Linked DNA regions of Xenopus tropicalis. The protein of the gene in region 3 interacts with the protein of the main gene of each other region in a pairwise test. Links are inferred from orthologs where the notes say so. Each region holds a gene or a part of one and is shown on either strand. Other genes may lie near its edges.

The links.
Region 1: the proteins of sh3gl1 (region 3) and fam102a interact in binary tests that used the Homo sapiens proteins (3 or more experiments, as listed by UniProt). The two-hybrid records come from large-scale screens. The link is inferred for Xenopus tropicalis from reciprocal best matches to the Homo sapiens genes SH3GL1 and EEIG1.
Region 2: the proteins of sh3gl1 (region 3) and mta1 interact in binary tests that used the Homo sapiens proteins (3 or more experiments, as listed by UniProt). The two-hybrid records come from large-scale screens. The link is inferred for Xenopus tropicalis from reciprocal best matches to the Homo sapiens genes SH3GL1 and MTA1.

What each region holds. Positions count from the first base shown.
Region 1 is NC_030684.2:25,539,430-25,542,949, reverse strand, and holds part of fam102a (protein FAM102A), read right to left. Parts: intron 2,844-3,520; coding exon 2,727-2,843; intron 2,634-2,726; coding exon 2,587-2,633; intron 1,574-2,586; coding exon 1,434-1,573; intron 754-1,433; coding exon 649-753; intron 522-648; coding exon 332-521; intron 1-331. UniProt on the Homo sapiens protein: Key component of TNFSF11/RANKL- and TNF-induced osteoclastogenesis pathways, thereby mediates bone resorption in pathological bone loss conditions.
Region 2 is NC_030684.2:115,925,795-115,929,314, forward strand, and holds part of mta1 (metastasis-associated protein MTA1), read right to left. Parts: intron 2,903-3,520; coding exon 2,775-2,902; intron 1,661-2,774; coding exon 1,509-1,660; intron 1,383-1,508; coding exon 1,193-1,382; intron 1,103-1,192; coding exon 1,013-1,102; intron 915-1,012; coding exon 759-914; intron 1-758. UniProt on the Homo sapiens protein: Transcriptional coregulator which can act as both a transcriptional corepressor and coactivator. Acts as a component of the histone deacetylase NuRD complex which participates in the remodeling of chromatin.
Region 3 is NC_030677.2:93,866,940-93,870,459, reverse strand, and holds part of sh3gl1 (endophilin-A2), read right to left. Parts: intron 1,744-3,520; coding exon 1,600-1,743; intron 1,497-1,599; coding exon 1,363-1,496; intron 1,185-1,362; coding exon 1,026-1,184; intron 1-1,025. UniProt on the Homo sapiens protein: Implicated in endocytosis. May recruit other proteins to membranes with high curvature.

The DNA.
Region 1 (3,520 bases), on a different chromosome or scaffold from region 3:
GATGTCCATCAGAGAAAAGCTAAGGGTGCCAAGTTCCAAAAATCACCCCTGCTGCCTTTTATGGGAAAATCCATAACTATTATTAGATATGAGATATTGCAGCACAATACTGGATGCCGCTTATTGCAGGGAGCCTTTCACACAGCACAATGGTTGCAGGAAAGATCATTATTGTAATGTGTATGGCCACCTTATGAAACATATGCATTGTGGCCCTAGCCCAAAACTGGACATGATTTTTGCATCATGATATAAAGGAAGAAGGCACACGAATAACCAACAGGAAATCCCTACACAAGCACAAATCTGAATACAGTAGGTATAATTCTACCTGGAGTGTCTGTCTGAGTGGAGGGGAGGCCGAATAGGCCGTGGAGGCTTTTCCAGCTTAACATCTCGTTCGGGTTCAGTCCCGTCGGCTGTGAGGCTGAGACACCCTGAGACGCTACTGCTGGTGGACGTGTTACGCCTGTGAGTCAGGTCGGACATGCTGGAGCAGCGAGAATGTTCAGAACTGTGACCTGCACAGAAAAAGAGCACATTGCAAACGTATTTAGTGATAGATACCTGCCGGACTTAAGGTGATATGCTGGAATATGAACAGAGACTCTTTGCAAGAAGGATAAACAACACTTGTGAGATGCTTACCTGACACTTTTGATTGCTGACTGGCCTGGCTAGAGTTCCGGGAATGCCCTGAATGGGACGTTTCCTCTGGGCTCGATAGGTTTTGCTCGGTTTCGTCAAATCCACCTGAAAATATAAAAAGACAATAAAATAAATGTGGATAAATTAAATACTGACTTTAATCCATAGATGGCTTGCACACCAAACATTAAAAGCTGCCTGATGGATTTCGTCCACAAGGCACATAATCATAGTCTATACAGAAACATTTACAACCGCTCTATTTAAAACACGTATCAGGATATTATGTCATAAACCCCATTACACTTTAACCCTTTAATGCCTTCAGAAATGGAGCAAAGGTTTACAGTTACTATTATCTAATCAAGATGATACAACATTTTTTTTTTCTTTTTCACTTCACTTTAAATATTTTCAATAAAATGTAGTTTGTATGAAATATAATAGGCTTGAATAGGAAAAAAATGGGCGAGTTGTTCTTATACTTTGAAGTTTTGGAGGATCTAAACTGTCCTCCTCTGTTGGCGCGGGACTTGGGGCTGTTTGCACTGGGGTGAGTTTTGTTTTTTGGCCCTCCATTGTAATTGCATTACCCCCTCTCAGCGCTGGACCTAAGGTACAAACCTGGGTCAAGAAATACCTGTTTGAATTAATGTCGGCTGAGCCACACTTTATTTGAATACTGTGGACAATGTTCTAGGTCTGTATTTCTAATGTGTTTATCTATAGTACTGGTCCTGCAGCTGCTCTGTATAATGCACAAGCCATCCAGGACTAGGCCATACCTGAGCTCAGCATAGCCTGCCGGCTTCGGTTCTGCCGTACGGTGCCACCCGCCGATCTCACAGTCCCTTCCCCTTTACATGTCATCTGTAATGAGGAGTCTTGTCCTGGAGGGGAAACTGTTTTGGCTGTAGATAGAGGTCTGAAGAAAGTGGAAAAAGAACAAGTTGTTAGCATGAAATAATGTAAATTCAGTATGTTATAAAGACATAGTGGTTCATGCTGTGTCTTTATAAAATAGCTTAATATTTATACTACTCAGGTATTTTTTTTAATTGATTTGAGAGAGAGGGAGCTGCCATGCTTTCATTCTTTAAAAAAGCCATTTTATTTTTATAGTTTAAATCAGTAAAAACGTGTTCAGATTATAATAAAAACTCTGCAGGATAGTTGCTTAGCATAGGCAAGCGACAGCTTTACAGCAGAGCCATTACTCAGACAAGGGAGTTGCCTTGCTTGTATGTATATGTATGAATAATTTTATTTATAAAGCGCTACTTATGTACGCAGCGCTGTACAGTAGAATACATTAATACAAACAGGGGGTTAATAAGATAATAGATAAATACAAAGTATAACAATAAATACAAATAAATACAAGATACAGTTACAGTTGCAATAAGTTAAGAGTCAAAGACACACGAGGATGGAGGTCCCTGCCCCGTAGAGCTTACAATCTATATGGGAGGGTAACTTACAGACACAAATAGGCAAATATAAGTGCTGTAGGTCACAGTGGGTGACACTACAATATAAGTGCTATTTCCCAGATCAGGTGCTGGGCGAGTGCTCCAAAAGGTAGTCTTTTAGTTTGGTTTTAAAAAGACTGGGGGAGGATTCTCTACGGAGGACATCAGGGAGGGAATTCCAAATGTAAGGGGCAGCAAGGCAGAAGGGTTTAAGGCAGGAAACCGCAGTAGTAGTGGGGGGCGCAACCAAACGGTTGCTCTGCGTGGAACGAAGGAGTCGGCCAGGAACGTACGGAGACACAAGGGAAGAGATGTAGTGGGGAGCAGAGGAATGGAGGGCTTTGAAGGTTAAGAGAAGAAGTTTGTAGGATATTCTTTGTTTAACAGGAAGCTTTACTAAGGTGTAAAAGCCTATATATAAGGAAGCAATAATGGAAGATCAGATGTAGGCAATGCTGTCACTTACGTCTTAAAGCACGGGTCACCAGAGAGCAGCGACATCCCAATAATTACCTGTCAAGAAAAGGCACGTTACAAGGGATTTCACAGCAGAAAGTGCGGTTAATGAGCAGATGCATGACCATAGAGCAAAAAAAGACCTGCTACCTTTAGAATGGAGTTGTCCTGCCTTGTGTTCCTGGTATCATAACCTTCCAGCAGGCAACAGCGGGCTGTGGAGCCAGAACCAGCAAACTCAGCCAGATTGAGATCAGCAAAGCCCAGCTGAAAAGAAGAACATGATAAAAATGGGTTAGAGTAGTACAATGTGAATGTGATTTTCAAGTAAATATATATATATATATATATATATATATTTATATCAATAATATATATAAGCTCACTCAGATGCAGAAAGATACGAAAAGTCAGAGATGTGGTAGTACAGAGCTACATGTTTCACATAGTGGAAATAAAGGTTTCATCTTAATTAATCCAGCACTGCACAATGCATGGAAAGGCAGGACTGTGAGACATGTTTACCATTTAGGCAAAGGCTGCCTTCAGTCCTGTGTATCCCTGTACATTCGCCTACTTGCGTCATGTTAGGTTATTAGCAGGGGGCCCATATCCCACAACCCTGGCAGGAAATACATGAAGGAAGAGCATAGAAGGATGCTCTGGCCGAGTCTCTTTCACTTCCTTCTCACAGCTGCTGATTCCGAATTGCTTGCTGTGCCATTTTCCCCTTCAATAACATTGAAGCACTGTTGCTGATATCTGCCCCAGTGCAGTATGCAGGAATATAATGTATGTACTAAACATGCAGAAAGCTGCAGCAACTCCTACTTCGTCGCTTGGCACATAGCATTTTTTATCTTGATGGATAACTGGGACCTGACAGAATCACAGGGTGGCCTGATAGGTAAAAGTATTACCACCCCAAGTGAAAAATGCCCAGA
Region 2 (3,520 bases), on a different chromosome or scaffold from region 3:
GCTTACCTTGTACCCTGGGCTGGTGCCCCTGTTAGGAGAAAACAGCACCAGCCCAGGGTACCTGTAGCGGAGCGCTTCCTCCTTCTGGCTTCATTTTGGAAGGACTAAACGACAGGCGCATGCGCAGTAGAGTGAAAAGCAGGCTTCTCTGTTCTTCCGTCTTCACCCTACTGCGCATGCGCGCGAGCGAAGACGGAAGGAGGAAGCGCTACAGGTACCCTGGGCTGGTGCTGTTCTCTCCTTACAGGGGGCACCAGCCCGGGGTACAAGGTAGGCGATTTAAGTCCCTGGGGGGTGCCTAACATTTTGGCACCCCCAACTGACTTTGCCTTTCCTTCTCCTTTAAAGGGCTAGTAAAACCATGGGGGGAAAAAAGTGCCCAACAAGAGTTTTAGTTCTCTAGAAAGCAGAGGGACTCACATAGTGTGTGTGTTAAGGGGATGTTAAATGACCCAGCTAGCCCATACTGCATGTATATAGGAGCAACCATACTGCTTGCCTTAACTGCTGCAGTTCTGATAAAAAAGTTTAATTAAAACCTTGGATCACAAATGGTATTAAGCCTTTCTAAAAAGATCTCTGGTTCTTATTAACTTCAGTTTTAATATACAAAGAAGGAATGACCTTTGCACAGAAAAGTCCTCCCTTTTAGAGGGCTCTTTATAATGTGCAGCACCACTTAGCAAAAAGTACATCCCTTATAGAAGACTATTTGACACAAAGAGACATAAAAATAATGCCAGAGAAGGGATACTTACCATCCATACCATTATGCTGCTCATAGCTGCGTTTTCCCAGGATGGTTGGTGATCCATTGTTAATAACAGGAGAGGATTTGGTAGGGGTCAAGCTGTTGTTGATACTTGTAGAAATGTTTTTGATTAGGTCTTGTTTAGGAGGGCAGGGGTGTGCCTCTGAGAAATAAAAAAAAAAAAAACACAGGTTTCATATTTTTAACCCCCTTGTAAACTTACATAAGTACATCAAAACCGATTATCAACAGTATTTCTACCTATATATCGCATCACTTCTTCTAAGGGTTTTCGGACAACCTGTTTTAATATAAGCGGGGTCTTCGATGCTTCGGGAAGCCTTGTTGTGCCTGTGAAAAAGCCAGTATGTCAGTAAGCAAGCTGCTATAAAAAGATAGTGGTAAGTATTCTAAAGAATAATTCATTGTACAGATACCTACATTCTGCTTTGATGGCAGCGCTGTTAATAGGCATATATGGGTGTCTTGCTGCATATCTTGGCCGAAAGATGTCTCGACACAGCCGCCTTGCTATCTTGGTCAGCTTTGTAGTGTGCAGGTAAAATGCTTGCCGTGTCTTCATTGCAAATTTCGGGCTTCCACTATTTCTCATTGGAAGACCATGTGGGCTCTGTGATACAGGGATATAGAGAAACATTACCAATCAAGCAGCTATTTCATTTCAGAAAACTGGAGAGGAGCACACAAAAAAACAAAAAAGGGGTATAATGCTTTGCCTGTCCAGATATACACACACCATGTTATTACGGTTTGGCCCCGGCCTCTCCCCATCCAGTCGTGTTGGCATCTTTAAACCACCATACTTCTTCCAGTATGCCCAACATGATGCACAAAGGCGGCACTGCATGTTTGGAGGTCCCCAGGAATACCACTGGTACGACTGCGTGGCTGATGGAAAGAGGGCAGAGAACATTAAAATCCGAGTAAAATTTCATGGCAGGGACTTTTCTTAAATATACCCGACTTCAATCTTTCTACTTGTCCAGCTCCTTTCTCTAGGTCTTATTTAAAAACTACTTAAATTTTTACTCTTGTACGCAAACACTTGCTTTTTGACTTTTGTCTACATGACAATTAACCAGTCTTTCTGAACACTTTTGTTTTAGCTTTTTATTCAAATTACAAAACAGTCCTCTTGCCACTGGGAGATACTTGTGCAGGGAAGCGCACAAATCAGAATGCAGAGCGTATACTCAGAGGGAAAGTAAATGCCAAATAGACTGAGCCAAAGGGATGTGTTCATATCGTTAACCGTTGCTTTTACAGGGCCTACCAAAAAGTTTTAGCACAGGGGGAAAAAAAAAAAAAAGCTGCAAATTTAACAAGCAGAATAATCAAAATGCCTAATGTAAGAATAGGATTTATTTCAAGGAATTCTACTGGCTTCAGGTATCAATACAAATCACCAATATGGTTTTTACAACAACATAAAAAAACTGTTTAATGTACAAATTCCTACAATAAGGTCACTCATATTACCACAATCTGTCCAAGCATTTATTTATTTTTTTAACAGAGCTGTAACAGACAGAAGCTTCAAAGGCTGCTTGTGGGAATAGTACTAACTGACATAGTTCTTAAAGGCTTAATCTGAATATTATATTAATTACCCATGCCCACTGGTATAAAAAATTAAATTTGAGCGGAGATGTAAACTTTACATTTTTTAAATATCTGCTGATAACATCACAGCAGAACCCGCTCTCCCTCTTGTACACAATTTTTTTTTTTTGGTTGTAATCAGTATGTTTCACATACACCAATTTTTTGTACAGCACTGCAGATTATGCTGGTGCTTTTTAAATTTGTGTTACTAACACACTATAAATTATGAAGTGCACAGGACATTCCTCTGAATATCCACCTTTATATATAACATTCACACTTTATACACAAGATAAAGCAAATAAAAAAAGCTACATAATAATAAATAATGATGTGCCTCATTACAAACATGTATGACAAATATTTTCTTTTTTTAAAAAGGTTAAAAAACACTTACTGTAGCAGCTTTCACATGCCCTTTCACATGCCCTTCCTACAGCCACGTTTTGCCCCTGTACTGCTGTACCATTTACTACTGCAGGCTTGACGTTATTCACATTGATCTGATTTGGGTTTGGTTTATTGCTAGAGAAAGAAATTCAAAATATACATCAGAATCTTGACTTAAGTTGACTTAGACTGCCATTAACTTAAGCTACAGATATGGGGACCCAGGAACCCAACATACAGAAAGTGCTAAATTACATGAAGACCTTCTCTGATTTTAATGTTTTAGGGCTCGTACAGATGAGCGTTTTTTCCTGAGCTCCCCTGGGGTGGCAGTCTCCTGCTTCCAATGCAGGGGAGCAAAGGAAAAAACGCTCATCAGTACGAACCCTTAAGAAATACTGACACCAGAAATTAAACTTTTTTTTTTTAACTTGACTTGACCATTTTCTTTCATTCTTTCTTTCTGATCCCCGTGTTCCTCCATGAGGGGGGCTGCCATATTTGTGCATCAGGAGTCTGTTAGCATTAGAAGCTATAACAGACTAAGAAGGGACAATTAGGTTGGCAAAACAGTCAGGTTAATGAACTTTAGGTGACAATTACTTACAAAAGCAGCCCTCTCAATAAAAAACTATCATGACCTATATGTAACTTTTAATGTACATTCATATTTTGAAAAATAGTTTTTTAGTGTCCGTATCACTATAGGGATGCACCGAATAGGTTCAAGATTTGGATGAATCAAATCTGAAT
Region 3 (3,520 bases):
CACCTGAAAAGTAGTGGTTGAGTTGGAATGTAGGCGGATTTCTGTTTGCGGATATGGAAAACTTTTTTTAAACCAGTTTAAGCACCACTTTTCTCCATTTTTTGGATTCCCCCACATAGTCGGGTTTATTTATGCTCAAGCTGTAACTTTTTTGTATGTCATCAGAAATTTTCTTTATTCAAGTCAAAACACTTTCAAAAACCTGTATTCTTAACATCAGACTAGAAGAGTGAAAACCCAGAGCCTCTAAACACGAACACCCATTTATCATACCATTGGTTGAAACTTCTGAACATAATTTCCCCTTCAAATAAAATTAGGTTCATATACTTTTGCCACACACAAATAAATGAACAAGCATTATGTTTTTGATTTATCTGCTAAACTGGGTTATCATCTAGTTTTAGGACTGATGAAACACAAATCATTTTAGTGTCTTCTGCCTTGTTAGTTAATATACATGTGTTGGGGGCATTGTCTTTCATCGCAAATTAAAGGCATCTCTCTAACCCCTTTAAAGGTCAAGGAGAGAGAATTTTTTTGTACCACCTATTGATTATACATTCTCCTCTATGACCTGAGGTGCTACCATTATTTTGGCCTTTTTATGTCCCTTAATACTTAATATCTCACAGGGGCTCATTTGCAAATTTGCACCTGGGCAGTAACCTATAGCAATCACAGTGATTTGCCTTTTTCAACCAGCCAAAGGTAGAACAATGAAAGCAAACATCTAATTTGTTGCCATGAGTTACTGCCAAGAGATTATAAATGCCCACCATTGTCTACTGCTGGTCTGGAACTGCCAATGCGTTAACGGTTTCCCTGTCCTGGATCACTTGCGGGTGTATTATAGGGCTAATTGCACAATTACAAGTGCCATTGGCCCAGGACAGCAGCTGGGTGGCATATAGTTGTTATTTAAGACCAGGTGGACTAATTGAGTTTGGGGCTGGATGAACAAAGTGGTTTGAAATTATAATTTACAGTAATGTAGCACCATGAAAAAGTTAACTCCTACTTACATCTGTATCAAGCAAATTAATCATGCTCGTCTCAGCCACTTCTTTTGATTCAATGAACTTTTCCATGGCCTGTCTCAGCTCTTCATCTGGTATCTTTCCTTGTCGCTTCTTCTTGTAGTCATAATCTAACCTCCGGCCTTCCAGTTTTTTTAGATGATGCTGCAATACACATAATTCTAATGTAAGAAGTTATCAAAACAAAGACATGTTAAAAAGCACATCTGTACCATACACTGACAACTTAAGCCAAGCACCTTTATAGCAGTTTATTACTGAAGTTACTGCTTTACCAGTTCTTGGCATACCAGCACAGGAGGTGACTAGTCCAAAGCCTCACCTGTATCTCCTTCAAATCTTTGTCACAAAGATTCTGTAGCGGATCCAAAAAGTTTTGTTTCACTTCAATATCCAGAGAATCCTTTACTTCTGCCAACCTTTTCATTGACTCCCCAGCATCCAGCAAAGCATCACCTATTTGACAAAGCATATTAGTGTCTACAGCCACTCTGAAATCTACACTTAACACAACTTAGAAAAGCATTATGCTAGTTAGGGCATTAATAACTGCACTTACCAAAATTTGATTCATCCCCAAGATCTTTGCCAAATTTGATCATAGTCTCTCCTAAAACACCTTCTGGCTGCGGATATCCTGGATTCTTCACCTGCCCACGTATCTTAGACATAGTATTCAGCATTGACAGCTTAGCCCTTGAAGCTGAAGTGGAAGCACAACAGAATAAATAATATAACTTTTTTTAAAAAGGTGGTACTCAAGCCCAAATTTTGATTTATTTATTGCAGAAGATAGCTACATGTGAAATCATTAGGTGTAAAAAAAAAATTAAAAAAAATTAAAACAAAAAGATTCCCCCTGACATAAAAGAGCAAGTATACCATTGATTCTTAAGTTATGGGTCGGGGCCCAAAGATGGGTGCCTATAAATTGTTGTTAGGGATCCCTAAAGTGTGTCATATGTGCTGGGGTTTGCTGTGCTCACATATAAATGACAGGGGATATACCTCCAGTAAGCGCCAAACATTTGGGTTTTTGCTGTGCTACCAACATTAATGTGGGTATGGTCTTAAAAGTTCTTGTAATAGGGTGTGTTTTTAAGTGGGTGCGGTTTAAAAAAAAAAAGGGAGTGGCTTCCATTAGCAGCCCTCCACCACATATCCCAGAAAAATTCCAGCCCTCAGTACCACAGACATTGGACAGCATGGCTTTGGACCATTTTCCTCAGTTTAAGCTGTTATGGTCCCTTGGGGCTTGTCAATCAAGGCTTGTAGGGCAGAACTTAAATGCTTGATTTACAGGAAGAATCTGGCAGCATAGTTAGATGGTGTTGTCAGCTTATACAGGGTCAGAATTCACAGCCCACACTCCTGTTGGGGGAAATCAATAGATTATCATAAAAAGCTCCCATCGGTGCTAGGTCCCACACTGGGAGGTAGTTCCCAGTGCGGGTTGCCATGTTGTTTGGCGTGCATGCACATAATGCACAAATCTACCCACTCACTTACGTGCATGCGCTTAATATTGGCGTGGTGGATGGGACCTGCCTATGATTAAGTGCACAAACACACGAAACGCATCAGATATACTGATTTTAAATGGAGTAATAAAGATCGATTTTTAGCGAACCTTTTGTGTCCGGTGCGTTTGAAGCTTCCTTGCCTATATATGATTCTGCCTTCCCCAGCTACGGGTTCGGGGCTTTAAGCACCCGGGCCACTTCTGGACAGCGGTGAGCTTTTTGGTTTTTCTATCTTTATATGATGAGAGCCGAATTGACTGTGTTGGGGTTCTGGTTTAGATCCATTGGGAGATAGACTCGGGGTATACACACCCGGGTCTCCATGCTGTATTTGGTACAAATAACTTTAACTATGCCTTTATCCCACCACTTAGGGCGCCCCAATTAATTCATTTATTATTCAGATTAACGCTATTTACTTTTTACAATTTATTCATCTGTTTCAGTGGATGCGACTCACCCTCATATGTCACATACGTGTATAATAAACTTGCGTGTGCCATAACATGACTGCCTGCACCAGAAGCTCCTTCCTGATGCAGGTAGCCTAGCACTGGTGGGGGGCTATTATGTTTAAGAAAAACTAATGAAGCAATATGGGGGCGATAGGTGCCCTTCAAGCCCACTACATAACTCCCCTCCTTCACTGACCCACCTTTTTGTTAAATTGTTCTTAATTCATTCCCCCTTACTTAATTATTTATGCGTGGGCCTTGCATGCATGCCTGCTTGCCTTTCCAGCACTAATGTAAAGATCTGTATTAGGACTGCTTCAAAGATTAACCTTTCAGCCCACAGTGCTGAAGTAGATCAATTGTGCAGAGAAAGCAAGCAGGGAGGCATAAATCATAAAAGTTAAAAACACTATTAAAAAGAGTGCAGAGAGGAGTCTTCCTGAAAGATTTCATTTATTTTTTTTTAAGTAAAGGGCGTGCGATAAGAATGGCTGAAAAGAAA